Nothobranchius furzeri: one gene and its partners. The main gene of each other region encodes a partner of the protein of the gene in region 3 in a complex. Links are inferred from orthologs where the notes say so. Each region holds a gene or a part of one and is shown on either strand. Other genes may lie near its edges.

What was found.
Region 1: med18 (region 3) and med31 share a complex: the UniProt entries of both Homo sapiens proteins name them as parts of the mediator complex. The link is inferred for Nothobranchius furzeri from reciprocal best matches to the Homo sapiens genes MED18 and MED31.
Region 2: med18 (region 3) and med8 share a complex: the UniProt entries of both Homo sapiens proteins name them as parts of the mediator complex. The link is inferred for Nothobranchius furzeri from reciprocal best matches to the Homo sapiens genes MED18 and MED8.
Region 4: med18 (region 3) and med7 share a complex: the UniProt entries of both Homo sapiens proteins name them as parts of the mediator complex. The link is inferred for Nothobranchius furzeri from reciprocal best matches to the Homo sapiens genes MED18 and MED7.
Region 5: med18 (region 3) and med12 share a complex: the UniProt entries of both Homo sapiens proteins name them as parts of the mediator complex. The link is inferred for Nothobranchius furzeri from reciprocal best matches to the Homo sapiens genes MED18 and MED12.
Region 6: med18 (region 3) and med24 share a complex: the UniProt entries of both Homo sapiens proteins name them as parts of the mediator complex. The link is inferred for Nothobranchius furzeri from reciprocal best matches to the Homo sapiens genes MED18 and MED24.
Region 7: med18 (region 3) and crsp7 share a complex: the UniProt entries of both Homo sapiens proteins name them as parts of the mediator complex. The link is inferred for Nothobranchius furzeri from reciprocal best matches to the Homo sapiens genes MED18 and MED26.

The regions. Positions count from the first base shown.
Region 1 is NC_091750.1:26,556,666-26,560,811, forward strand, and holds the start of med31 (mediator of RNA polymerase II transcription subunit 31), read right to left. Parts: upstream 2,801-4,146; 5' UTR 2,651-2,800; coding exon 2,626-2,650; intron 2,359-2,625; coding exon 2,284-2,358; intron 2,211-2,283; coding exon 2,114-2,210; intron 1-2,113. UniProt on the Homo sapiens protein: Component of the Mediator complex, a coactivator involved in the regulated transcription of nearly all RNA polymerase II-dependent genes.
Region 2 is NC_091756.1:57,827,886-57,831,931, reverse strand, and holds the start of med8 (mediator of RNA polymerase II transcription subunit 8), read right to left. Parts: upstream 2,801-4,046; 5' UTR 2,746-2,800; intron 2,601-2,745; 5' UTR 2,484-2,600; coding exon 2,478-2,483; intron 2,249-2,477; coding exon 2,127-2,248; intron 1,633-2,126; coding exon 1,488-1,632; intron 1,414-1,487; coding exon 1,273-1,413; intron 1,177-1,272; coding exon 1,089-1,176; intron 1-1,088. UniProt on the Homo sapiens protein: Component of the Mediator complex, a coactivator involved in the regulated transcription of nearly all RNA polymerase II-dependent genes.
Region 3 is NC_091745.1:72,040,841-72,044,910, reverse strand, and holds med18 (mediator of RNA polymerase II transcription subunit 18), read right to left. Parts: upstream 2,632-4,070; 5' UTR 2,347-2,631; intron 2,022-2,346; 5' UTR 2,005-2,021; coding exon 1,932-2,004; intron 1,158-1,931; coding exon 601-1,157; 3' UTR 501-600; downstream 1-500. UniProt on the Homo sapiens protein: Component of the Mediator complex, a coactivator involved in the regulated transcription of nearly all RNA polymerase II-dependent genes.
Region 4 is NC_091742.1:50,786,289-50,790,516, forward strand, and holds med7 (mediator of RNA polymerase II transcription subunit 7), read left to right. Parts: upstream 1-1,428; 5' UTR 1,429-1,570; intron 1,571-2,773; 5' UTR 2,774-2,782; coding exon 2,783-3,547; 3' UTR 3,548-4,097; downstream 4,098-4,228. Other genes in the region: itk (tyrosine-protein kinase ITK/TSK), read right to left, coding at 65-202. UniProt on the Homo sapiens protein: Component of the Mediator complex, a coactivator involved in the regulated transcription of nearly all RNA polymerase II-dependent genes.
Region 5 is NC_091741.1:82,309,236-82,312,735, reverse strand, and holds part of med12 (mediator of RNA polymerase II transcription subunit 12), read right to left. Parts: intron 440-3,500; coding exon 321-439; intron 1-320. UniProt on the Homo sapiens protein: Component of the Mediator complex, a coactivator involved in the regulated transcription of nearly all RNA polymerase II-dependent genes.
Region 6 is NC_091756.1:31,519,125-31,522,624, reverse strand, and holds part of med24 (mediator of RNA polymerase II transcription subunit 24), read left to right. Parts: coding exon 1-104; intron 105-176; coding exon 177-270; intron 271-360; coding exon 361-460; intron 461-824; coding exon 825-908; intron 909-3,500. UniProt on the Homo sapiens protein: Component of the Mediator complex, a coactivator involved in the regulated transcription of nearly all RNA polymerase II-dependent genes.
Region 7 is NC_091751.1:71,981,071-71,985,088, forward strand, and holds the start of crsp7 (mediator of RNA polymerase II transcription subunit 26), read left to right. Parts: upstream 1-1,218; 5' UTR 1,219-1,426; coding exon 1,427-1,498; exon of another isoform or gene 1,499-1,595; intron 1,596-2,341; coding exon 2,342-2,416; intron 2,417-2,502; coding exon 2,503-4,018. UniProt on the Homo sapiens protein: Component of the Mediator complex, a coactivator involved in the regulated transcription of nearly all RNA polymerase II-dependent genes.

The DNA of each region.
Region 1 (4,146 bases), on a different chromosome or scaffold from region 3:
CAGAAAGTGTTAACGGTTATTTTATTTTTAAAGCAAGAATGTGGATTTGAATACATGCTCATGAATTTCAATTCTGGTGTATAACTCTTATGGTATCAGTATGCTACTCTTAAATTTTAGCTTAAGCTTCATATGGTGTGGGGGGGTTGGGGTTATAAGCTTCTGTCTGTACCCATTTTTTGATTGTCTAAGTTGTGCGTTTACTTGTAAAGCCACCATTTAAGAAATCGTGTTACGATCATGTTTATTAGCTCCTGATCCGATCGTTTTCAGCAAAGCATCAAAATAAAAAAAGATAAAAAAACACTTACAAGTTGTCCTTTGTCACTTTCATTTGTTTGGGAAGTACACCGATTTAAAAACGCGTTTACATTGTGAATATATTTAAAGGTTGTTTCCTCCTTCATTATGCAGCTGGACTGATGGATGCACAATCCCGTAACGGATAAGGTAAGCGGCACCTCTGCTGATAGGCTAACTTTTAACGCACAACACCTACCTGTGCTTTGGGCTTTGGGGCTGCAGGAAACATGTTTGTATGCAATTATTTTTTCATATATTAGCGTACCTTTCTGTCAGCTGGTTCCACTTTTTTGTCCGAGTTCACTGTGAACTGGGACTGTAAGTGGCAAACTGGGAATTAATGGAGACCGGTGATTCATTTTGACACCCAAAGGGGAAAGAGAAGGTAGTTTGTTTGAAGGCAGAGAATCATGGAAACATTCTTCCAGCATGTTGAATGCCCAGTATGCACTTACTACACGTGGCTGTTGCTCTGCCTTTTCTGTCCGGTTTAAAATACCACCATGCTGCAGACGTTAGCCTGTTTGCTAACAGCTGCAGCGTGGTGTCTGAATCTCTGCCTGATGTAAGTTGTGTGATGTTAAGGTGCTGTTTTTGCATACGAAACAAAGAATATTGATGTAGAGGAACTTGTTGAAATTAAAACTAAACTGGTAGTATTCCATTGGAAATTCTTTATCTCAGAATGAATTAAAAAAAGTCACGTTTGTTGTTTTAAAAGGTTAAATTTGATTAATTTCTCCCGATCCTTTTAAAATCACGCCACTGGATCGGAGCATCCCTACTTTTCAGGAAAACCACCTTTTATTAAACAACAACAAAGCGTGTAAAAATATCCAGGACAACTGCAATGTCCTTGAAGGGGGGTTCATCATGATGAGACGTACCCCAGTGGCCCCATGTACATCTTAGAAGAAACACCGATGCAGTGTTTGACTGATCGTCACTTTAAAGAACAAGTCAACCCCTACCAGAGTCTAATAACTCCACTTCCACTTCATGTTTGAAAAATGCAACAAATGCTGTTGCCTGGCAGACCGAGAGGACGGAGCCACTAACAAATACACACACACACAGGCTCACGATAGCATTGTGACATCATAATGTACCAGTTTACATCATAGCATACCTCTTAGCCAATAGCGGTTGCAGATTTAAATTCAAATACAGTGCAGAGTTTTTACCTGACAACGGCACAACACTGCCAGTTTTAGGCAGAATATTTAAATTTTAACTAAGATGCACTGAAGTGCCAAATTATTGACGACACGTGTCTGCAGCACGATTAGACACTCGTTTATTTAGTTTATCAGCAAAAAAATAGTTGATTTGGGGGTGACTTGCTCTTTAAAGAGCAAGTCACCCCCAAATCAACTATTTTTTTTCTGATAAACTATATAAATGCGTGTCTAATTGTCCTGCAGACACGTGTAGTCAATAGTTTTGCACTTTAGTGTATTTTAGTTAAAATTTTAATTTTCTGCCTGAAACTGTCAGTGTTGTGCCGTTGTCAGGTAAAAACTCTGCACTGCATTTGAATTTAAATCTGCCACCGCTATTGGCTAAGAGGTATGCTATGATGTAAACTGGTACATTATGATGTCACAATGTCGTGAGTGTGTGTATTTGTTAGTGGCTCCACCCTCTCGGTCTGCTAGGCAACAGCATTTGTTGCATTTTTCAAACATGAAGTGGGAGTGAAGTGCGCTTCTTGTAAGGGGTGACTTGCTCTTTAAAAACAACATGAGTTCCCCGATGAGCCAAAAGTACGACCAGCTTGGTCTGCTTGTGGATCCCGGACCCTTCTTACTTGAGGAACTTGGCATATTCAGGTTCCTTCCAGTAGAGCAGGTACTTCAGGTAGTTGATGAAAGGTCTCTCCCTCAGGTAACCCCTCTGAGCCAGAACTGAAACAGAACCAGATGTTTCATTCTGTGAACGTTAGGAACCCGCTTCTCTCGCTGTGGATCAGTCACTCACAGTTCAGGTAGTTCGGGTTGGCCAGACACTGGACAAACTCCAGTTCGGACTGGAATCGGTTCCGAGCCTGTTCATCTGGACCACATAAACATCCGGCACAACAGAAAACACGTTTAGTTCACCAGACTCCACTTAAAAACCAGACACTTTATTAAAGTGCTTCTATACTTTCCTTAAAACTTGTTCGAACAACTAAAAACACTAAAAGTGGGAAAACAACACGAATTTTAAAACTAACGGCTTCGCATATTAACCAAAAATCAACGTAACTGCTGTAATAATAGTTTAAAACCGGAATGTTTGTCTCCGTTTAAAACCGAAGCTAAAACATACACTACCAACCTGTTTCCATGACAACAGGAGTCATTGACTGGGGTATAAACCTAATATTTTCAAATTTGAACACAAAACTAAGAAAGCACAAATCTTCAGAGCCTCCGTCTTTGTTTAAGTTTAACAAACGCCATCAAACGTAAGCGGACTCTTGTGACGGGAAACCGAGCGTCCTTCACGACATTCACTACAGTTTACGGCTGCTGTAGTGCTTCTTTCTGACCACTAGAGGTAGCCACAGAAATAGAAACAGAATTTATTTGAGGGCAGTTAAAGCACACATGATATAATATAATATAATATAATATAATATAATATAATATAATATAATATAATATAATATTGACCTATTTCTCCTTAGAAAAGCTGGATTAAGCAAACATTTAAAAATAAACTCATCCATTATTTAGGTGAAGAATATAACTATAAATTATAGTTCAAAACTATAGTAATTGCATAACCATTTAATGTCTATCAGACTAACTAGCTAACTAACTAACTAACTAACTAACTAACTAACTAACTAACTAACTGAGGGTCTTAACAGTGTGGTATTCCCCTATAACGGCTGCCCAGCCCTGGGGCCTCATTTATAAAGCTTGCTTACTCACAAACAGGGTCGGAAAACTGTGTAAGCAACTTTACAAGCAAACTTTGGGATTTATGAAAGAAAACTTAGCGGAAGAATGTACACAACTTTAAGATGACTAAGCACCTGGCTTACGCACATTTTGGACATGGAGAGCACCTGCAGTGCTGCTGCTGAGAAGAATAAAATTATGAAATCCTGCAGCATTATCACTTGTACTGCTTCGTTTTCACACAGAACAAGACCCCCCCACACGCACACACGCACACACACACACACACACACACACACACACACACACACACACACACACAGCCTGACGCGCAGAATACGGAATGCAGAATATCAGCAGGGGGACAGATTGAGAAGGAATGTCATGCGTCTGTGACAGTGTGTGTCCTGTTACTGTAACTCGATTTATCATGCACCCTGGCTAGTTGAATAGGGGAGATCTCCATTTGGCTGACTGGTTAGCACATGTGACTTTCACCTGGGAGTCTGGGAATCGAATCCTGATTGGACCATCTTTTTTATATCTGCCACAGATCTCTCTGAAGAATTTACAACATTGACGGCTTCAGCAACGCTGCGTCTCTCCGTGGATTTTCTCTTATTTGTTTTGCAAAAGTACTTCCTTTCATTTCTCCACCTCACCCACAGGTACCTCAACTTCTGCTTCTGTGATATTGTGCTTCCTTGATCTGCCTTGATCTACGGTCGCCATGTCATTGGATGTGATTCAAGTTCTTGTGTGAGCCTTGAGCGCAGCTTTGTTTTATTTATACTCTACAGAGAAAACTTGCTCACAAAGATAAGTTTATTTTCACTCTACATTGTAAAGTATGAAAATAAAGTTTACACAACCATCTCGCGGGCCGGATCCACACACATTATATAATATAATATTTTAATGACCTCTTCTGTTGCTGCCACTTCAGCTG
Region 2 (4,046 bases), on a different chromosome or scaffold from region 3:
GAGAAACAAGATGATCACTAAAATAACTCCTGATTCCCAGTATAAAAAGACCAATATACTTATAGCTCATAGTCTATGACCCAAGGGCTATAGACCTTGGTTTAACTCATGTTAGTCTAACCAGTACAGACCCAAATACCAATATCTTGCAAATACTGACAGCAAGAATTATACAGTGGCATTTATAACAAATAAACGCAAATAAATTGATGTTCACAAAATGTTGCATAACATTTATTGAGTCGTGTCAAGGTGCTGTAGGAGAGTGCACTAGCACCGTGTCCTCAGAGAGATTAGTTATTATTTATCAGCGTGAGGAACTTATTTCTACCTTATTTATAAACTATTTATTTACAGGTCCATCAGTTAATGTAATAATTGTCCCAACCAAAGCTGCACCCCCCAACCCGGTCTCACAGCAATCGGGGGCAAGCTGCACGTGTGTTTAGCACGCCGCACGCGCACATTTAGCTGTTTTTAGAGGCTCAGGAGTCCGCAGGTGCGGTGTGTGTGTTACTCACTCTGGTTACTCTAACAGGGAGTCGGCTCTGTGAGCCGTTTCCTTAGCGACTGACACATCACTACATCATTCCCTTTCCTAATGTCCTGAAGAACGGTCCGGAGCGCAGGCGGAGTGTTTAGCTAACCTGCAGGAAATGTCCACGACAGTTATCCAGAAAGTAGCTAAGGGTTTCCAGAGATGTTTCTGAGGTGTTTGCTAGGTACTTTTAAGATTTAAAAAGTCAAGAAGGGGGTCTGAGAAGCTGCTAGAAATAGCATCAAGGAGGAGCGCTTCATTTGCAACTCAGGACAGCGTAAGTGGGAGGAGCAAATAATTGGCTTGTTTTGTTTTAATAATCGTTCAAAACTCAGATCGTAATTGGGATTAAACTTCGATTAATTGAGCAGCCCTAGGTTAAACCACCAAATGGTTCTTGAGCACGGCCATGTCTGCAGCTCACCGCTTCCCCAGCGTATGGGTCGAATGCGGAGAAAAAATATCACTAGTGTGTGACGACTAATGGGACTTTAACTTTTAAACAACTTTTTCTAATGGTAAAAAAATGTGCAGCAAAACCTGAACACACCTGCGCTTTCTGCATCTCGGTCTTCCCGTGGGTTGTTTAGCTTCTCCAGCAGATTGGAGCACATCTTATTCAAAGTCTGGATCTGTTTCTGTTCATGCAGACAAATGAAGGTAAACAAAGCAGAGCCGGATGAAAGCTATCAAATCAGACAACTAACAGGACACAAAATATTATTCCACACAACCTGTGCTGCATCAGGACCTATCCGTGCTGCCTCTGCACTCAGCTGTTTTTCCTGCTCCTCCACCTCTGGATCAGGCTTGGTCCTCAAGTAGTCTGGAACAATCTCATGGCTGAACACCGGCACACGCTTCTCTGTGAGTTTCTGAGAGGCAGTGAGAAGCTATTAGTGAGCTTAACTCAAAAATAAGTAGATGAGACTGAGATGCTGCTACTCACCGCTAAGTCATCATCTCTTTCTTGAGATAAGACCAACGGAATAATAACCTGGCTGCGAAAAGATGGCGTCTTCTCATTCTTGAGCAGTCTGTTGATGGTATTCAGTTGACCAGAGAGGAGTGCAAAGTTATCCAAAACAGATGGCCTGAGTCAAAGCAGAACACAAAGTAGCGTCTGAGAGGAAATTTTAATCAAAAGATCCGCATCTGGACTAAAATATTTTAAACTAAGGTTATTTCACTAAGGACTGTGCAATTAACCTAATTTACAATTTTTATTTCATCCTTAGTTAGCACTAAAAAATGACCAACAGGAACAAAAATAATCATGATTGTTTTCGTGATCAGGCAGCACCATTTCACTAGCCTAGAAATTTAGACCAACCACAGCAATATCAAATGAAAATGACCCACACTATAGCGCCTTTCAGAGTCAGGGGATTCCAAAGTGTATTATTTATCCATTCACACACACATTCACACCCTGGTGGTGATGAGCTATAATGTAGCCACAGCTGCCCTGTGGCACACTGACAGAGCTGAGGCTGCCAAGCACAGGCATCACCGGCCACCCATCTAATGCTGCATTTCTTTACCGATAAGATAGTACGTTTCTATTTTAATAATAATAATAATTTACCAGGTCAAACGCTCATATTCATTTTCTAACTTGGCAATAAAACTCTGCAGAGCGTTTTTAACGTGAGCCACCAGAGAGATCAGCGTGTCCACAGAGGCTTCCAACTGCTTTTCTTCCCTTTGCTGAAAGACACGTGAAGAACGATCATTTTATTTCATTTTGATGACTGACAAACAAACGAGACAACAAATATGTTAGCAGGGAAAAGCTACGTGCTACATAGCTTCGCAAATGAAGGCTAGTTAAATTATCTTTAAAGAGCAAATATATTTGATATACCAGTGAACATAATAAACTACAACAATGTCGCCTACATTTGTTTTACTTTATTTTCCTATTATCAACGATTACCTGCATTGCTGATCTTAGCCGGATGCCTCTGATGAACCGTTCTTATCACTTCCGGTGTTACAAAAATATGAGTCCCCAAAATATGTTCCACCTCAGCTCCGCTTGAACCATGCCACCAAAGTGCTATACAATCAAAATAAAACAGATAAAACCAGCAGGGACAACTAAAAAACAATATACACATAACAGTATAAGAGCATGTAAAAATATCAGCAACAGCTAACCCACAGAGTTAAAAGCCAGATCATAAAAGTAGTATTTTACAAACCTGTACTCATGGGGAGAGAGAGCCTAGTGGTTAAGGGAAGGGCATTCCATAGTCTCGGGCCCGCTACCGAGAACGCCCTATCCCCTCTTGTCCTCAGCTGAACTCTGGAAACCGAGAGCAGAAACTGGTTCACAGAAAGGAGTGCCAGACCAGGAACATGTGGCTGTAATAGGCAGGGGCCAACCCATTAAACAATTAATTCTAAAATTGACAGGGAGCAGTGCAGAGCAGCCAGAATTGGAGTCGTGTGTTCATACTTTCTCTTGCCTTCCAAAAATCTCACTGCAGCATTTTGAACAAGCTGTAAGCGAGCTACAGTACTCTGACTTACACCAAATAAGACAGTTACAGTAGTCAAGGTGTGAGGTGATTAATTAATCAATGTATTCATTCATTCAGTCATTCATTTATCAATGTAATAATTAATTGATTTATCAATTAATTTGTTTAAAAATATATTCATATATATCATATATTATATTTTATATATATATATATATTTATGTTCTTATAAATAATAACAAGAATAAATAATTATTTTGAATATATTTATTTATAGCAATTAATTAATAATTAATCAATAATTAATTAATTTATCTATGCATTCATTCATTCAATGTAATAATTAATTGATTTGTCATTTTATTTATTTATAAATATATTAATTTATATTATATATTCTAATATATATATTTATGTTCTTAGAAATAATAACAAGAATGAATAATTATTTTGAATATATTTATTTATAGCAATTAATTAATAATTAATCCATAATTAATTAATTTATCGATGTATTCATTCATTCAATGTAATAATTAATTGATTTGTCAATTTATTTATTTATAAATATATTAATTTATATTATATATTCTAATATATGTATTTCTGTTATTATAAATATTAACAAGAACAAATTGTTATTTTGAGTATATATATATTTATATTAATTAATTAATAATTAATCATTAATTAATTAATTTATGAATGTATTCATTCATGATGGATATAACTGATTTTGACATCACAGGGTTATTGATGTAACAGTGTAGGTGTTTGTTTAAACAGAAGGTCATCAATTTGATCACATTTTAGAGTGGTGAAGAATGACCTCTTTGATCACCCTCCTGTTATCTGTAACTTCCTGAGACAAGATGAAGGTCCAACAATCTGTTGATTAGGTTACCCCGGTCAGCTGGTTCTAAAGAACTGTGTGTGGGGGTTGATCTGTAACTTCTGGGTGTGCCTTCCTAAATAAAAGAAGCTCTAAGGCTTTGCCTGATTGTGAGTGCAAAATGCCT
Region 3 (4,070 bases):
AGTTAAGGACCCAAGGCAGCTGTGGAGCTTTCATGTGTAATGGTTCCAGTTCAATTTCCCATGAAAAAGGGGCACTAATGGGTTAACAGTGGAAACGAGAGGGGCAGGGAGCGAAAATCAATGCTTTTGTTGAGGGAAAGAAAGGAAGGCTTTCACAGGTCTATGTATCATTAAGCAATTGAGAAAGCTAATTAGAATGAGGTAAAAGATGTGCAGATCTCGCAGCTAATTATTTCCATGGCAACCACAGCTCCAGTAGATGATGAGAGGTAGCATTCAATTTGTTCCAATCAAGGCAAAGACAAGAGAAAGAGAGACCCCTAGTGGACGGAAAGAAAAACGTCCACAGCAAAAACCACCTCTTATTCAGTAAAGCATTAAAAGGTTCTTTGAATAAATAGCTTTAGCTGTTAATACACTATAATTTTCATCAACATGAGGAATAAATGAAGCATTTTTTAGATAGTGAAACAAATTCAAAAACAAATAAAACTCTCGAATAAAAGTTGAGCAGTATTTTATTTTCTATTAAGATAAAAAACAAACAATTAAACAAAAGTAGCTACATTAAATGAGTCCATGTTAGTCTGAATTCTACTTCTAATGTCTCTGCTTGCTTGGGTCAATCTTCTCCAGGTGAATCAGAGGTTTCAGTTGCTCTGCAAAGCTGCGCATGTCCTCTGAAACCGTGTCCTGGCCAGCAGGGGCCAACACGCTCAGTTCAACTAGGTGCGAATTTGACATTCGCTCTGTGTTTTCCGTGTTTCCTGGTAGCTGGACCCGAGAAACGTTGCAAACCACCACTTTCATAGCTCCTTTGCGAAATATGTGGCCGCTGGTGACAAATTCGTGGTCCATGCGGAAGCCCATCTCGTTCAGGAACTCTGGAAGGCTGTGAGAGGCAGCCACGTCAACGCAGTTGCGTACCAAGGCGTAGCGGTTTTTGTCTCCCACTTCAGGTTGGCCGAGATAACGCAGATGCCATGGAGCATTTGGGTGGGAGAGGGCGCGCCGGGCACGCAGGATAAAAGGATTTCCCTGCTGGCCTTTCAGAAGGTACACCAGCTCATGGTCTGTGAAAGTCTCGGGTTCCATGTTGTCACACAGACCACGGAGGCGATGCAGCAGGCTTTCCAGAGCCAGATCTAACACGCTGCCTGGATTCAACAAAAACAAAGAAAATAATGCTTCATTGAAGGAAAAATAACAGCAATCATTTTCTAACATGAATAATTCAAAAATAAAACAAACATCTTATGTCACTCAAACTTTATCTGAAACAGTAAAGGTATAAAACATGTATTCTATAATCAGTCTTCATCAGAATATGTTTTTCATGTAACACGTTTCCTTAAACTGTCAGATTAGAGGTTAATCCAGCTTTTGAGGACTTTTTCCACAGTTATGCTTTCATGGAAGCAGAAACAAGATTCTGAGATTTTACAAATTAGTAAAAATAAAATGACTAATAACTGATAGTTTCAGTTTATGGTAGAAGATCTTTTAAATCTTAGTTATCACCTACAAATATGTGTTCCTTATGCTGTACATCTTTGGAAACCCAATTTAGTATTTTTATTTTGTTGCTCTTAGTGGTTTGAAGGTTACAATAATAGCTTACTGCCGTTGTGTATGTACCTGCACTTTTGTTTTTATTTTTTTCTTCTTCCTTTTCTCTAAGCGTATGTTCTGCTCTAGAGTGAATGTCCCCCCTGGGATTAATAGCCTATTCAATTCAATTTAGATTTTTCCCCATTAACAGTCATCCATCTTTCATTGTTGACATAATAGCTGATATAAAATACTACATATGGCCACTAATGCAAAACTGACAATTGTATAAAACGTTGAAATGTCTGAAAAGTAATTTTTCTTGTGTACTTAAAAAGCACTCAGGGAGACTATTTTTATTTTGTATCTCACTAACTCACCTTGTAACAAATATTCCATCATATTAATCGTCCCACCGGTCACAGGCATCACGGTAACAGGAGGGGCCTCCATCTTTTCTCAGGTATCTGCTTTTGTCCCAATTTAAAAAGAAAAGCAGTCAGTAAGCTTAGCTCAACATGCTAATAAATAGCTAAATATTTCACTTTAAGAAAAAGGTCGAGGTGGTTCTAAACTTATTTTAATCAACACTTTGCATGCTGGCTCACTGTTACTTGATAATATGCAGAGCTTAATGTAAATAGCTACTTATGATGTTAACTTGTTCGTTATGCTAGCTAATAGTTAAAAGGCTAAATTATGTTGCTAAGCTAAATCATTCATACAGTTTGCGACTCCCCCAAAAAGTCTACTTTTACATGAAAAATAGCCATAAAGCAGAATGCTACTCCGTACCTGTTAAGGTAAACCAGAATAAATGTTGGCGTAATGGTTTGTTAAAGACCCGGTAAGCCTCTTCCGGTTAGCATGTAGCGTTAGCTAACCGCTAGTTCGCCAAGTTTTTACGTCAGCAACATACAAATGAGTCACTCCAGCTGTTCAAGTAAAAAATGGAGGAAACGTAGTCAAAATAAAACCACCCACGCATGTGGAGATTAGACAAAACATTCAATATGCATCAAAAATACGAGAGCATCTTTCTTTGGCTTGTTTTTGAAGCGCGTTACAACCGCTATGATAACACTCTGCTGCCACCTACTGGAGAATGACGGTTTTACAACATCTATGTCTAAAAACTACGGTGCACAAACGAAATGACAGGATCTTCGCATTAATATTCCACATTTCCTGAAATAAAAATAGAAATGAAGTTCATTCTGCAACTGCAGAAAGTAAATTAATGATCCAACAGTTTATAAATAATCATGAAAAAATAATCAGTCCAGTCACAACTAATCTGTTTCTCTATTATGATTTTATTCAGTTGTCTTCATCAGATCATATTTTAATCGCTTATAACTCTTTCTCAGAACGTCATTTTAAAATATCGGAACAGTTTCTTAAAAATAAATTCACTTCATTGTCTTTGGAAATTTTTAAACATTTAAAATTTAAATTGTATTATTTTATTCATAAATTCAAAATCTGCAAAATGAGAAATGTATCCACATTTCAGCAATATATCGTAACATATTATGGAAGAGTATGTATAAAATAAAATATATTTTAAATGTAGAAATTTATTTATTTATTTATTTATTTATTTATTTATTTATTTTGGGCAAAAATTGAGAAATTTTAGATTTTACCTCCACAACCCTGTGGGAGTAATAATTATACATACAATCATATTAGAAGTTGTTGACAAATTGATCACTAAATCAGAGGACAGTGTGGAAACTACAATCACTAACTCTTCAGTTTAGCTTTCATCTCTGCCAGGTGTGTTTCTACTACACTTTTATTTCACCATAAATGCAGTCAGTTTCACATGCATATCTATGTCTTCTTGCGGGAGGTGCCTTGATGACAAGAGAAGAATAAATAACAGTCGGGTTTTCTTCTTCTTCCTGCAGCATAAAACAAGACATTAATTACCTTAGCAAAACATCACATGTGGTATTTCATACATACACTTTATAATACTCATCATACCTTGCTGCCAAATCCGCAACAAGAGCTGTGAAACGGAAATGCTGAGGAGAGACAGAAAGAGAATCAGGTTGAAGGGCAAACCACTGTGCATGATTAAAATCTATATGTAAATTACAAAAAACAGGAAGTCTCAACGAAAACCTACAGCTGCAAATCCTACCTGCTTGCAGTCTTGATTTGAAGCAAAAAATCACGAGTGCTGTTACAGCTAGACATGCCGCAGTGATTGATACTCCATAAATGGCTGGAAACGTGTTTTCAGTCTCCTCAGATTCACCTGTAGAGTCAACAATATGTTTATTTTAATTGTTTAATTTTAATTTAGAATTTAAAAAAGAGGGTCGCGGCATTCACTCGCCTGCTGATGTGTTTAAAACTGCTGATGCTGATGTGTAAGTGCTGGTAACAGTCGTGCTATTGTCCAAAATCTGACCTGCCGTACAAACGAAAACCCCAGATGGAGCTACGTCCACTGATATTATCGTATTGTCCACCTGAAGCCTTGAAGTCTCTTTTCTAGTTTC
Region 4 (4,228 bases), on a different chromosome or scaffold from region 3:
TCAACGCCATAGAAAATGTGACTTTAAGAAAACCACATTTCAATACAAAATCGTGTGGACTTACCCCCGGACGGCACTCCGAATACTTCAGATCCTGAGTGTCCAACACAAAAAACCTCTCTTTGTAGTTATTTGGTGATGTTCTTTTCTTTTGCTGGGATTTTTTGATCATGGTTCCCCTCAAAATCACCCTGGGGAACATTGTCAAGAAGAACGCAGCGAGCGTCTGCGAATGGTTTTGTCACAAGCAGAGCCTCGCAGAGTCAGAAGAAGAAAAGGCAAAGTTGTGGATGATAAACTTCGTAGATGCTGTGGAGCTTCCGGCGTGAAGCTGCGGCAGGCAGTAAACCACATCCTTGTGGCAACAAATGATTTGCGCAAGCAGAAATACACACTGTTTGATGCACAAACACTGTAGATGTCTACCCTGCACATGTACTTTCACTAATGTTATAGAGAATTAACAAGTTAAGCCCAAAGCAGGACTGTGAATGCAGAAATCCAGGTTTTGGTAGTACTTTTTTAAACAATTGGGAAGATAAAATGAGTAACAAAACACAAAACATCACTGAAAAAAGTTAAGATAAAGAAATATCTCTCTTTCTCTAAATGTGTCTTTGCATTTAGGGGTTACACGTCAAAATATTGTTATTTTTCAGAGAAGTTTAGACTGTTTACAGTGAATGCAGTCCATTAAATTCTTGATTAAAGTAAAGAGTAAAAACTACTTAAGCCACATAAAAATTTACAAAACTCATCTAGGTGACAAGGAGTAAATAAATAAACGTGAGCAAACCGGTTCGGAACATTAGGAATTAAAATGCTGCTCACTATCTTTTCACAAGAGAATAATAGAATTCAGTTTGTCATTATCAACCCAATTTCTTTTTAATATCGATATCAACCCTTTTACACCGTTCTGTTTGTGGCAGGTGTTTCACATACATAAGAAATCACAATCATCTTTTTTTATTATTATTATTTTAGGATAAAATTCATAGATTTCTGCAGATTCTGAAAGAGGACAAACAGATCACAACATGCCCTATAGGTCATAAATTGTAAGTCGCTTTGGATAAAAGCGTCTGCTAAATAAACATAAAGAACAAACAATAACTGACATAGTTTGTAAAATGAGAACCCGAAGGAATTAATATACAGGTTATTGTTTTTATGTCTTTAAAATTAGTATTTTCATTCAAAAATATTCAACAGTTATCTGAATATTTTAGTAACTTTTCTTTTTCATGTATAAAATCAGTTCAGTTTGGGCATCAAACGGTACTTTTTCCATCGATCCTCTGAAGAACAAAGTAAAAGAAAAACAAATTTTTCCGTGCTTCCGGATATTTCTACCAATCAGCGTTGAGCTCTTTCTGTGACCGCACCCCAATCAGCGTTAGGAAAACAATCACGAGGACAGTTCAGCCAATAGAAATCAAACAGAAACGACTGGTCTTTTCTGCATTTATCGAAGAAGCTATGTTAGCCCTGATCTAATTTTCCAACGATATTTGATTAACGTTATTATTAGAAGTATATGTTGTGTTTCTAAAGGATTGTTCTTAAGGTGGGTATGAATACATTTACTCCCTTCTCATTTACCTTTTATGTAGTTCGCTTCATTTTTGACGTGCCCAATTAACTACCGGGATTAGCGGTGGCTATAGTTAGCTAGGTTTCTGTACAAAATGCAGCGGTGACGCTAACGTAGTTCTGCTTGTAGTGTTTGTCAATAACACATTGAGTCCGTAACAAAATAAAGGTAACACAGAAGACAAAGGTTCAATGGTTAGGTGCGTGCTAGGAGTTGAATTTGACTACTTAAATACCTAAGAACAACGTTTCAGCCAGATATTAAACCTATAATTATTAACTATGGCTAATAAAGCCTAATTTTACTTCAAACTAGATTGCAAATGTTTTACGCCAAAATGAGCAGTAGTGTGTATACTATAATTTACGTGTCATTTTAAGTTCATATCTACTTTTCCTACCAACAACAGCAGTAGGTGCAACTTAAAAACCCATCAGAATCTAGTTTTGCTTTGAATGTTTTGTGCTGGACTGGTGCTGCAACACATTAGTTTAGATTTTAGACTAACACTTTACTGGAAGTGTATGCTGATTATTGAATTTGCCCCTCCAGCCTAATGATAGAATCCTGCAGTTATTGGGAGAATGACGTTTGTCGAATTTTTAAATATATTTTATGTACAAGGATTTTGAGAATCTTTTATCGAAACTCTCAAAAAGTAAATCAAACAATAATAAATTCTTAATAAAAACATTTTATTTGTTACTGCAGTTTACATTTAACAGTATTTATTTGTACAAATGAGGGGCATTCAGGCTTTTACTACAATCTGTTATGTGTAATAGTGTATATCTTTTGATGCAGAGCTCTACACGATATGCTGTTACCTAATAAGTTATTGTGCTCATTAGGTAGCTGTAATGTATTGTGTAGTAGTAGTAATCAGCTGATAATGTCATGTTTTTCAGCTTAGCCATCAGCCACAGCTGGTTCTACATGAATGTGGAGCCGAGTTTTAATCTGAAGATGGAGATATAACTATGGTTTTGGGCTGAAATATTAAATTTAGAATAAGTTGCACTAAACTGCCACACTGATAATTGCACATGTCTACAGCACTATTAGACACTCATCTGTACAGGTTATCAGCTAAAAAAAAGTTCATTTAGGCATTTCTTGATCTTTAATAGTGCCTGGAATTCCTAATAAATGTTTTTTCTTTTTCTATACTTTCAGGTCTGCATCATGGGTGAACCACAGCAGGTCAGCGCCCTGCCTCCACCACCTATGCAGTACATTAAAGAGTACACAGATGAAAATATCCGCAAGGGTCTGGTCCCAAAGCCGCCTCCACCCATTAGAGACAGCTACATGATGTTTGGCAACCAGTTCCAGTGTGATGACCTTATCATTCGACCTCTGGAGAGCCAAGGCATCGAGAGGCTCCATCCAATGCAGTTTGACCACAAGCGGCAGCTCAAAAAACTAAACATGTCAATTCTTGTGAACTTTCTGGACTTGTTGGACATTCTCATCAAGAGTCCTGGCAGCATAAAGCGTGAAGAGAAACTGGAGGACATGAAGCTTTTGTTTGTTCACATGCATCATCTTATAAACGAGTACAGGCCACACCAAGCCAGAGAAACACTGAGAGTCATGATGGAGGTCCAGAAGAGGCAGAGACTGGAGACGGCAGAGAGGTTCCAGAAGCATCTGGACAGGGTGGTGGAGATGATCCAGGGGTGCCTTGCATCTCTACCTGATGACTTACCCCAGTCGGATGTAACAGACGGTGTGTGTGTTGGGACCAAGAGTGTGTCTGCTGGATCTAGTTTTGGTTGTTCTTCTGGACAGGCCCCCATTCTGAAAACCGAACCAATGGATGTAGAGGACACGGGCGCCAGCTGCATGGCTGCAGGTGATCAGGACAAGAATGTCCCAAGTTCAAAAACAGACAAAACATGGGACAAGGATGCTGCCATGTGTAGTATAATAGATGAGATAGCATGAAGATTTACAGCACATGCATGTTTTTACTTTTCACTCAGCATGAAATACTTTGTGTGGGATAAAAATACTATTATTTGTACATGTTCTTTTCAAATTCAACTAAATGTACTTGTAAATATTTCCTTAGCGTTTAAATCTTATACAGATCTTTGTGTTCACTGGGCTCAATAAATCTATTTGAAACCGCAGCAGGAGTTTAGTGCCGTCACAAAAACGATGATCTAATATGGTTCCACATAAACACAAAGTGCTTTTGTTAAGAATTTGTTGCTAATTCTGACGCTGTGGTTTGCTGATTATGCATTAGCGGTAGATGCGTAGATCCTTTAGCTAGTCGGCATATCAAAGAGCTTGATTCATCAGAGACCTGAGTAAAATTTAATTAAGTCATTCTGCCTTCTTTTAAAATGTAATGCAATGTAGACAAGTTTAGGGTTGGGGTGTGCTGAATTGAAAGGTGACATTTGATAGGTTTACGTCTGTCAGTCGTCTGTACATGTGATACTTTATACATACACTATTTTTCCAATAAAAATTCAAATAAAACCTATTTAATAGTGATGTGTCGGTCGCGAACGAACTGGTTCTAAGAGCCGGCTCTTTGAAGTGAACGACAGGAGCCGTCTCGTCATTGGGAGCCCTCCCCTCCCCCCTCCCCTTTTGCTTTGGTGAAAGCTGCAG
Region 5 (3,500 bases), on a different chromosome or scaffold from region 3:
CCTGCTTGACAGCAACCATGCCCTACAGCTGTGGCTCCCAACCTAAAATCCCAATAACACACCCAATGGTATAATCTAAACTCCATAAGTGTTAAAACTCTGTAGGTCTGTGTAACGTTTGTAACTAATCAGATTTAATGTGCGTATGCAGGCAGGAGTGCTGGGGTTGGGGGTTCTGGCTCGTCTAGAACACAGGTCTTCAAGGATCAAAGGTTGGGAACCACTGCTCTACAGGACAATCTGTACTCTCCTCAATTGCTTTCTTAATCTATGGCCAGTCCAAAAACATCAAGTGAAAGGTGACAAACTGGTTTCCATACCTGTGAGGTGACCTGGTGCTGGTCAAAGTGGGAGAGGTGCTGGAATTTAGAGAAGATGTCTTCTGCAGTAGGAAAGGCTTCTGGCTTACTTCTTTTCCTCTTTTGCCCTTCTTCTCCTCCTGTTTGTGCAGGAGAGAGATGATTAAAAAAAGAGAAAATTGGTGGATGGAATTCTTTCCAGTCTACCAACTAGGCCAGCTGTGAAATCTACATAAGCGGTTAGGCTGTCATCTTTTTCTCTTCTTTTTTTCAGCCTCCTTTTATTTGAAGCTTCTGTGCAAAACGACACATGGTGATAGAGGGTACTTCAAAGGAATAAAAAATGGGAGTTGTGCTTTTCATTTATGAGAAACACAGCTGAGAGCTGAGGCACATCATGAGCTTAGAGGTATGTGTCACACGATCGTCCCAATCTGTGCAGGAAATCTTAAATCACCTTGATAAGGTCACCTGTATCTGAGGAGATGTGACTGTGAACAGATGAGAGCCATTAGCATAGAGATGGAGTGGAAACAAGCACGCACGCACACACACACACCTTTACCCAGCGTGTTTCTGGCCCCACACACACCAGGGGACACACTCTAGACCTTGTTTTTACCCTGAGTCTAAATGCTGACAGTGTTTGTCCTGAGGACGTTTATATTTCAGATCACCATTGCATTTTCTTTAACTTGTCAGTTTCTGCGTCCCCACCTCCTGCTCGCCGTCTAGTTAGTTCTCGTTTTCTTAATGAGAGCACAGCTAGCAATTTTTCTGCTGCTTTTGATCCACCCTGTTCTTCTGATAATGACCCAGATTCCTTAACTTCTCAGTTTAACGAGCACTGCCTCTCCATTCTGGACAACATCTGTCCTGTCAGAACCAGATCAGTTCCTGCAGTGAACCCTACTCCCTGGTTTAATGACAGCCTTCGCAGCCTGAAGTGCCAATGCAGAAAAATTGAGCGTTTGTGGAAGAAAACCCATCTCCACGTCCATCTGCTGCACCTAAAGGATCTTCTGACATCCTTTAACTCTGCAGTCAGAGACGCTAGGGTTTCCTATTTCTCCAACCTGGTGTCCCAGAGCAAAGGGAACCCCAAGGTGCTGTTTAACACCATCAGCACCATCGTCTCTCCTGCCACTCCTACAGCCTCCATCCACTCTGTTGTAGACTGTGAGAACTTTCTGTCTTTCTTTGTGGACAAAGTCAATAAGGTTAGATCTAGCATCTCTCCTTCAGCCTTATCGCTGCCTCTCCCGACTCCAACCAGGCCCATCATCCTAGATAGCTTTGCTCCTGTTTCTTTGCCTGAGTTAACCAAACTAGTTAACTCTATGAAGACCTCTGCATGCCCCCTCGGCATCTTACCCTCATCTTTGTTTAAAAGTGCTTTTCTGTCCATTGGTCCCAGCGTGCTCTCTATAATTAATGCTTCTCTGGTTTCTGGTCAGGTCCCTGCTTACTTTAAGAATGCTGTAATCCACCCGCTTCTTAAAAAACTGAGTCTCGACCCCTCTCTCCATAGCAACATTTATTGGGCCATTCCCATCTGTACCGGGTCGGCCCGGGCCGGGTAGCGTAGGTTGTTTACATATCTGGGTGGCCTGGTATTTTTCCGGGCCAACCAAGGCTCATTCTCAGCCCTCTTCTCGAAGGGGTCTGCTTCAGGTCGACCAGGGCCAACACACCCACTGCTGACAGCAAATTCACACCTTCCATTAGAGCAAGCCTCTGATTGGTGGGTAGAATCAGCCCACATGGGCTTAAGGCAAGGATGTGTGGAATCAACCGCGCCAACCTGGGGCCGACTGGGGCTACCCGGCCCGGGCCGACCCGGTACAGATGGGACTGGCCCCTAAGATAGCTTCCAGTCCAGTTTTCCTAGAGCTCATTCTACTGAAACAGCTCTTCTTAGGGTCTCTAATGACCTTCTGACTCACAGTGATGCAGGGGACTGTTCTGTTCTGGTCCTGCTGGACCTGACTGCAGCCTTTGACACTGTTGACCATCACCTGCTACTGGAGGGGCTGAGAGACTGGGTAGGCCTATCAAGCAATGCTCTGGAGTGGTTCTCCTCTTATCTCTCTGAGCGCTCCTTTTCTGTGGCCGTCTCCAAGTTTAGGTCCTCCACCACCTCGCTTACCCATGGTGTCCCACAAGGTTCTGTGCTGGGGCCTCTGCTCTTCCTCCTCTATCTGCTTTCTCTTCAGCACATCCTGAGCTCCTTCAAAGGAATCTCCTACCATCTTTATGCAGATGACATCCAACCGTACATCTCCTTTAAGCCCCATAAGATGTCTAAGCTTCAGCTGTTACACACCTGCTTAGACTCTATCAAAACCTGGATGGCTGGGAACTTTCTTCAGCTGGATGAAGATAAGACTGAGATCCTCATCTGTGCCCCAGACAAGCTGGTTCCCAAAGTCAGAGACTCTCTTGGTCAGCTTGCTTCTCAAACCAAACCTTCTGTCAGGAATCTTGGTGTGACCTTTGACCCAGCTCTCACCCTGGATTCTCATGTCAGTTCTCTTGTTCACTCTTCCATCTCAGGAACATTGCTAAGCTGAGTCCCATTCTGTCCCGCTCTGAACTTGAGACAGTTCTCCACACCTTCATCTCCTCACGCTTAGACTACTGTAACTCTCTTTTCCCGTGTCTGAGCAGAACCTCCCTGAACCGTCTACAGGTGGTTCAGATTGTCTGTGCTCTGCTTCTGACCAAGTCCTCCAAACACACCCACATCACCCCGCTTCTCCTCCAGCTTCACTGGCTGCCAGTCAACTTCAGGGTTCATTTCAAGATCCTGGTTCTGGTCTATAGGGCCTTCCATGGACAAGCACCATCTTACATTGGTGATCTTCTTAGTCCCTACACCCCCAGCAGGACCCTGAGGTCCAGTGATCAAAGCCTACTGGTTGTGCAGCACCAGGCTAAAGACCAAAGGTGACAGATCATTTGCTGCTGTGGCCCCCAGACTCTGGAACTCTCTCCCCCTGAGCCTGAGATCAGCGGACTCAGTGGTCTCCTTTAAAAAACAGCTGAAGAGTCACTTGTTCAAGCTGGCTTTTGGCGTGACCTTCATCACCCTCTCCTTATTCTGCTCTCCCCACCTATTCCGCCTTCCTCAGGATCCACTGATTTCCCTCTTTCCTGTTCACCCTCTCTCTCTCTCTTTAATCACAATTGTCTATTTTT
Region 6 (3,500 bases), on a different chromosome or scaffold from region 3:
CATCAGATCACCCTGACGCTGCTCGGTACCATTTTACCCAACCTGCTCACTGACTCCGCCCACTGGCACAGCCTTTCAGACCCTCCTGGGAAGGCTTTGGCCAAGTAAGAGCAGCTCCTTTCTGCTGGTTAAATCTGCATTTCAGCTGCTTTGCATTAACTTTCTTCCCCCTTCAGGTTGTCTGTGTGGTGTGCGCTCAGCTCTTTCTCCTCTCACCACAAAGGCCCCCTCTCAGCACGGCAGAGAAAAAGGCAGAGAGAAGACATAGAGGTAAAACTGCAAAGGCCAGGAATGGCATGTTGAAATGCATGAGTGATGTAATGTCATGGTTGCGTTTCATGAGCATCTTTCTAACCACAGGACTACAACAGCCTCTTTCCTCTGGACGATACTCAGCCGTCCAAACTCATGCGGCTGCTGAGCTCCAATGAGGATGAGCCTGCAGCTCTGTCCAGTCCAGGTCCGTCTAATAAAGTTTGTGTTTGGTTGCACGCTTGAATTATGGAGCTTCAGACATTTGTCTCTCGGTCTGAGCTGGGGATTATTCAGATGCTTTTTCTAATATCCACTTCCAAACCGGTTTGTCCCACTCAGAAGGGATAAACTTGGCTTCCAGTGATCCCAGACGTGAACGGTGGCGTTAGGTTTGCAGGCTTGCAGGTTCTAACTTGAGCCTCATGTGGGGTTAAAATATTGCCAGATTAAAACTCTGAGCAACAGCAGTGTTGTATTGTTACTCAATTCGTCATCACATGACCAGTATAATGAGCTTCCAGATCACCAGCTCTGGAATTTTTAATTATTTTCCCTGTTTTTGGCTGCAGCTTCGGAGACAAATTCCCAGACAAGACGTTGCATGACTCAGGAAAAACTTCAAGGCCCTTTACACTTTGCTGTCAAGACTGAAAGTAAAAGTGCTTTTGTTCTTTCAAAACCTCAAATAAGAATCATTTAGAAACTATTCTGGTCAGACCAGCGGCCGTGCTCAGTGATTTTTGGAGTGCAGGCTTCTTAATTACAGAACAACAATACAAAATCAGAATATAAGACATGGTTTAAATGGCACCACAGACACCTCGAGTCTTAAATAGATTTGGAGTATTTTCATGTTTAAGTGATAAAACTTTTTCCTTTGATGTAGCTCAGGTGGTTTATCAACCTATCATTTAGCCGCTTAAATGTATATTTATCTACAAACAAACAAGGAGCTTTAATCAGAGGGTAAAACAAAGTAAGATGCATACTCTGAGGTGGGAGTGACCAAACGCTCTTGCGTTTAAACAAATGGGACTAATAAGAAGGAGCCGTGACCTAAAACTTGTTCTGAAGGGCAACTTGTTTTACTCTTTGTTTTCAGATAATTCAACAGTTAAGTTATGTCAGCATTGGTTAAGTTGTTTGGTTTTCATGACACTAACCCATCGTGGTTATTTTTGCTGAATGCAGTCCGCCGACTGCACTGTCAGCTTAACCGATAATGATACTGCCACCAACGTGCTCCACAGTTGATGGTGCTGCCCACCCCTTTACCCCTACAAACACATCAGGTGATTGTGGTCAGAGCAGCTTTGGAAGGTCATGAGATTTTCAAACGCTTCACTCGGTCAGATTTGAGTTATTGGGTTGATTTAGGTGTCAGTGTGTGCCATTTAAAGGTTCCATTTCATGCTATGTTAAACCTTTGAGAACAAAGGTAGGCAGATTATATGGTAAAATATTACCATTGGCAATATTGAGATGTCATTTATCTTAAATACAAGTTATTTTCTTCAGCATGAGTTGATACCCAGAAATAAAATGCTTAATTTCAGTGAAACTCCGCCCACGCCCGCTCTGACAAAACGTGACTACAACAGTGTCATAGGTGAGTCAGTTGCTGTGTTTGTTATAAAATGGCCTGTATTTGATATAGCGCTTTCTAGAGTCCTGGAACCCCTCAAGGCACTTTACAACACAATCAGTCATTCACCCATTCACACACACATTCACACACTGGTGGGGATGAGCTACGATGTAGCCACAGCTGCCCTGGGGCGCACTGACAGAGGCGAGGCTGCCGAGCACTGGCGCCACCGGTCCCTCCGACCACCACCAGCAGGTAGCGTGGGTTAAGTGTCTTGCCCAAGGACACAATGACCAACAGACTGAGTGGGGCTCGAACCTGCAACCTTCCGATTACGGGGCGAGCACTTTACTCCTGTGCCTCCGCCGGGGGGGGGGGGCAGCTCAGGAGGTAGAGTGGGTAATCTGAAGTTTGTAGGTTTGATCTTGGCTCCCACCAGAGAATGCCGCTGTTGTGTCCTTGGGCAAGACACTTAACCCACCTTACCTGCTGGTGGTGTTTGAAGGGACCGGTTGCGTCAGTGTTCAGCAGGCCTCGCCTCTGTCAGTGTGCCCCAGGACAGCTGTGGCTACATCATAGCTCCTCCCCACCGGCATGTGAATGGGTGAATAACTGATTGTGTTGTAAAGCACCTTGGGGGGTTGTAGAACCCTAAGATGGAGCTATACAAATACAGGCTGTTTACTATGGCAGGCCAGCGGTTAAGGCATCTGACTGCTGTCTCAGTTTTGCCATGTGCTGACGTGGGTTCGAATCCCGGTGGTGTCGGAATAAATTTATTTAGCCACCTGAATCAGATTTCATGTTTTCATATTTTAGTTTAATTATTTTCTGTAAAATATTTTGTGTCTCTAAAGATCTTTGAATTTGGTCATTTTCAAGCAGCATTTTAGTTGATTTACTCTGCTCACCTCACATAGACTCACTCTGGCTAAATGACCAAAGAAAGTAAAAAAACAGATTAGTCCTTACCTTTTAAACAGTTTCCCAATAAAAGTGTAGCTAAAAAACAGTTACTGCCAAGGCTGGGGTGCGAACTTACCCAAAACTACATGCCCGCCTGGTACTCTAACCACTGGACTACCAAATCTGCTACATGACACCAGTTGCCTAAGCCAGTGGTTCCCAACCTTTTTTGACGCTAGGACTCCTGAGCCGTTTTCTCGCACCATGAGTACCCCCTTAGTCAAACGTGTTGACGATTCCCCAAAAGTGTATAACTGGGTGCTTGGTAAAAGCTGGTGTATCATTCATTTGGGTAGAAATGGGCCACGTGGCCTAAGATCTATATCACAGTATGTTTCTTTCCTCTATTTATATGTTTATGTCAAAATTAGGGGTTTTACATTCTCACATACCAGATGAATTTCAGCACAACAAATACTTCTAAAAATGATTGAAGAACATTAAACATTCAAAACATACTTAAAAATACATCTTTCTAGTAGTTTTTATGATGTTCTGATTCATTCTTCAAACAAAGCAACACAAAAATGCTCCTGAAACAAATAAAGATGAAGATATTTAAATAAAATTCAAGCTAAATGGGATGAAAACACAAAATTATAGTTTGAAATAAAGTGAAAACATGTAAAAACGGAAATAAGATTTCCAACTTTCCTCATTCATTTAATCATTTTTTATGTTTTTCATTTTG
Region 7 (4,018 bases), on a different chromosome or scaffold from region 3:
TACGATTTAACAATAACAAACATTCAACTGTGTTAGGCTGATAAGTCTCTGTCATCTGCTTTGCTTTTGAACTATTATTCATTCAGATAGTGTAAAAAAAACGCTCAGTGGGGTCAGCTCTGAGGAAGATCGCAGACACAATCAAAAGTGTCAGCAGGTAAAAAACCTTCCCCGTGTTTCAAAAAGAACCTAAAAAAGCGGTCAGAAGAAAAACACAAAAGATGTTTGTAGTCTTTAGAAAAACTGCTGGCTCATCAAATCCCCCTGATTAATAAATACAAGGAATTAATGCCACACTTACTAATCATGATTACTTTAGGTAGACAAACTGTAGTTCTTGTCTGATTTCTCACCTGACACCGTGTTGTTCTATAGGCTTATGTAAAGTATGAAGACAAGCACACTGTCCAGTTACATTAGTAATTGTAATTTCAGGATTTGTTGTGCGGCGAGCCATGACCAAGCTGTCCTGTGATGTCTGCCGTGCCAGCCTGGTGATGATGCTGCATCTGCCTGTGATGACCAGAGCTACATTTGCTGTCTCTGCAGAACAACGGGGTCTTGTGGTCCCATCTGAAGGTGCTGTGAGGGTCATCAGAGCAGCAGAGTGGGCAATTCGCCAGGCATCAGTGGGCAGACGATCACAGCCCATCAAACCACTGGAGGTCATCTACATCGTGCACAAGAGGATCGGGTCAGAGGATGTGTTTTTGCTCGGGGAGCTCATCAGTGAGACACCGTACGGAACTGAGTGTCACTCCCGTACACTGTTGACATCTGTTGTCTCCCTGTTCTTTAAGCTGAGGATGCACCACCTTGCAAGATTAGCCACTCGTAGCTTTCAGTGTGACAGCATGAGCCAGAAGCTCTCAAAAGCTGTCCTTTTCACAGGTCCGTAGGAAATCACAATGTGCTTTAGCATCTGTCTTAGATCTGTTATTTTTATAATCACAAACATGTATCATCTGTAATAAACAGGTTTTTCATAACTGTCAGTCCGTCATTCAGTCCACCAAGTTGCTGCATAAATAAACTTGAATTTAATTTAATTTAAACGTTTCATATAAAATCGGTCAATCAAATATTTACTGAAAAACAACTCACAAAGTTTATATTTAAAAACGTCACTGTGGTCGGGATGTTTACTTGGTTACGTACGAACGTGATGACGTAGACACATCGTATCCCAGCATGCAGCAGGAGGCCGTTGAGGCATCCAGCAGTTGGTAGTGAGAGGAGGTCCGAGGCAGCAGCGACTCCGCTCCGCTCACATATTTCCGACTCCATGTGAGATCAACTCAGACCTACATGCGACAGAAAGCATGCTGCTCGGGCGCCCGACGTGTTCCCGAAGCGGCTTCTGAGTCACCCGGCTTTCGTTTTGGAGGATTCCTCCCTCCATCTCCTGGATCGCACCGAACAGGCAATGACAACGGTCTCAGCAACCCCGCAGCAGATGAAGGACCGGCTGCTGCAGGCCATTGACAGTCAGAGCAATGTGAGCAATGCTAAAGCTAACGCTAGCTTGTTTGCCTATCAACATCCACGCAGCTGTTCGGGTGGCACGTCGCTGTTTATACAAACTACGCTGAAAGGTGCGCTCGGCCTCGACACGTCGGATGTCTCGGTGACAAAAAGGCTCGGGGCGAGTTGACAGCTAGCATGCCAGCTAATTTAGCAGCAGCGCTGCGTTGATTGGACGGATATCTGCCGTTATGTAGCCTGTTAGCTGCTAACGTAGCTTAACACCAAAGCAGATTTGGTATAAAGGAGCAATCCAGTCGTTGTTTTACGAAATCATCTCATCTAAAGAAAAGTTTAAGTTATCCCAAACAGCACAGTTTTAGTGAAAATGTTTTATTTAAACAATCACAAAGTTTAGGGAACCAAGTGGCTGGAATAGCGTTGAGGAAATGCTCCTTCCTTCTAAAGTAAGTTAAATGCTAACTACCCTGACTAGCTAACACAGGCAGGTCCACCGACTCGGGCTAGGGCTGACGCTGTCGACAAGATGCTCGGTTTGCTCCAAGTTCATAAACCTTTGCTGAGATGATTCCAGGTATTTTTGAGTGTCTCTGTGCCACATCAGCTTTGCAACATCGTTCGGTTTCTGGAGCTAAACATCCAGCTGAGTTTCTCCCGATGAACATGTTGTTTTCCACCCCGGAGTCAGGGAGCAGTTAGTCCAGATCTCTGGAGTTCCTGTTACTGTGGGAATGTGATTGGGTGGGATTGTCCAGTGTGATTACATTTTCATCCACAGACTACAGCTGTAAATCTAAATATTACTGCCACCAGTAGAAGCTGGGGGTTACTAACTGCTGGCATGTCCTTGTTGCAGATATGCAACATGGTGGTTGTATTGGAAGTGATCGCTTGTCTTGAGAAGTATCCGATTACCAAAGAAGCACTTGAGGTAAGAATGAACGTGTCATAGGCGGTTAATGCCTACAGAGGCTGTGGTGCCAAAATAGTTTTCACTTTTTAATTATTTATTTTCAGGAAACTCGACTTGGAAAACTGATTAATGATGTAAGGAGGAAAACCAAGGATGAAGACCTTGCAAGGCGTGCAAAGAAACTCCTGAGAAACTGGCAAAAACTGATTGAACCTGGGCCGGCTGTTTCAGCAAGTGTCCCGGGGTCTACCAATGGCAGTTCCCATCCCTGCAAAACCGATCCCTCTCCCCCTGACATTTCTGTATCGGGGAAAGCGGTCACAGAAGTCACAATCCGAAGTGATGCTCACAACACATACTCGCCTAAGGCTGAGAAGTCAAGTAACCGCAAGCGGCGGGCAGAGCACAGAGACAGTGGCGTGTACGTAACAGAAAAAATCTCCAGGTTGTCGGCGTTTGATGACTCTGTTTCTCCGCCACCCACCAACGGGACTGCTGGTGGTGCCGATGCGTTGGCCGACCAGGAGGTCGTTCCTTCTCCTGACAGGCCTCGGACAGACCACCTTGAAAATGACAAAGGAAACAGAATTCCAGTTAATGCTGTCAAGCCCCGTCCCAGCTCCCCTGGCATGGCCAAAGCACCTAGCACTTCCTCGTTGATTAAAGTTGCTGTGATGCAACAGCAAGCTAAACTGGAAGAAGGGGGCGGGGGCTATTACCCAGCGAGGAGTCCCCGCAGTCTCACTTCCAGTCCCAGGAGCCTAAAGCAAGACCCCGTTTCTAAGCGTTCAGCGTACGTAGCAAAGGGAACGCCGGTCCCCAGCCCATCTTCTAGAGACTCCCCCCTGTTCTTCTCCCAGCCTCTGTCCTCCCCAGCACCGGTGTCTCACAGTGAAAAACTTTCTTCTCTTCGGTCTTCAGTGCCCTCTGCTAATTCATCAGAGGTATTCTCTCATTGCTCTCCCCAAGATCTATCTGCAACACTGGATTCCCCCTCCCCCCCGCCTCCCCCGCAGAACTCAGAGGTCCACAGGTTGGTGGTTGAAAGAAGCTTAAGTGTGTCTGATGACCCTGATGGGCCAGTCCTTAACTCTGAGCATAAAAGGAGGAAGTACAGGCCTAGAGACTACTCCGTTAACTTGGATGGCCTGAAACTAGAGGACACGACTAAACCTGTGCGGTTAAAAGAACGCAGACTGACATTTGACCCGGTCACTGGTCAGATCAAACCTCTGGTGCATAAAGAACTTTCTCCAACAGAGGACCCCCCCACTCCGGACCTGGGAGAGTCCAGGCAGAGAACTGAAGTCGTTGTCCAACAGCCCCCTTGTGCAGCCCCCGCCCCAGGTCCCAGCTCAAACCCCTTCCACCAGACCAACTGGAAGGAGCTGACTAGAAATGAAATAATCCAATCCTACTTGAACCTTCAGAGCAACGTGCTCACCTCCTCGGGGGTCCAGGCCCCTAGCGCACACTTCTTCATGTCAGAATATCTAAAAAGGGAAGAAAGGGAGACTAAAGACTCAAATAAAACACACGTTTTGCAGACGGACCATTTAACAGGAGATTTACCAGGTGTGAGTCGGGAGGTGACGGATGAGGACCTGGACAGAATACACA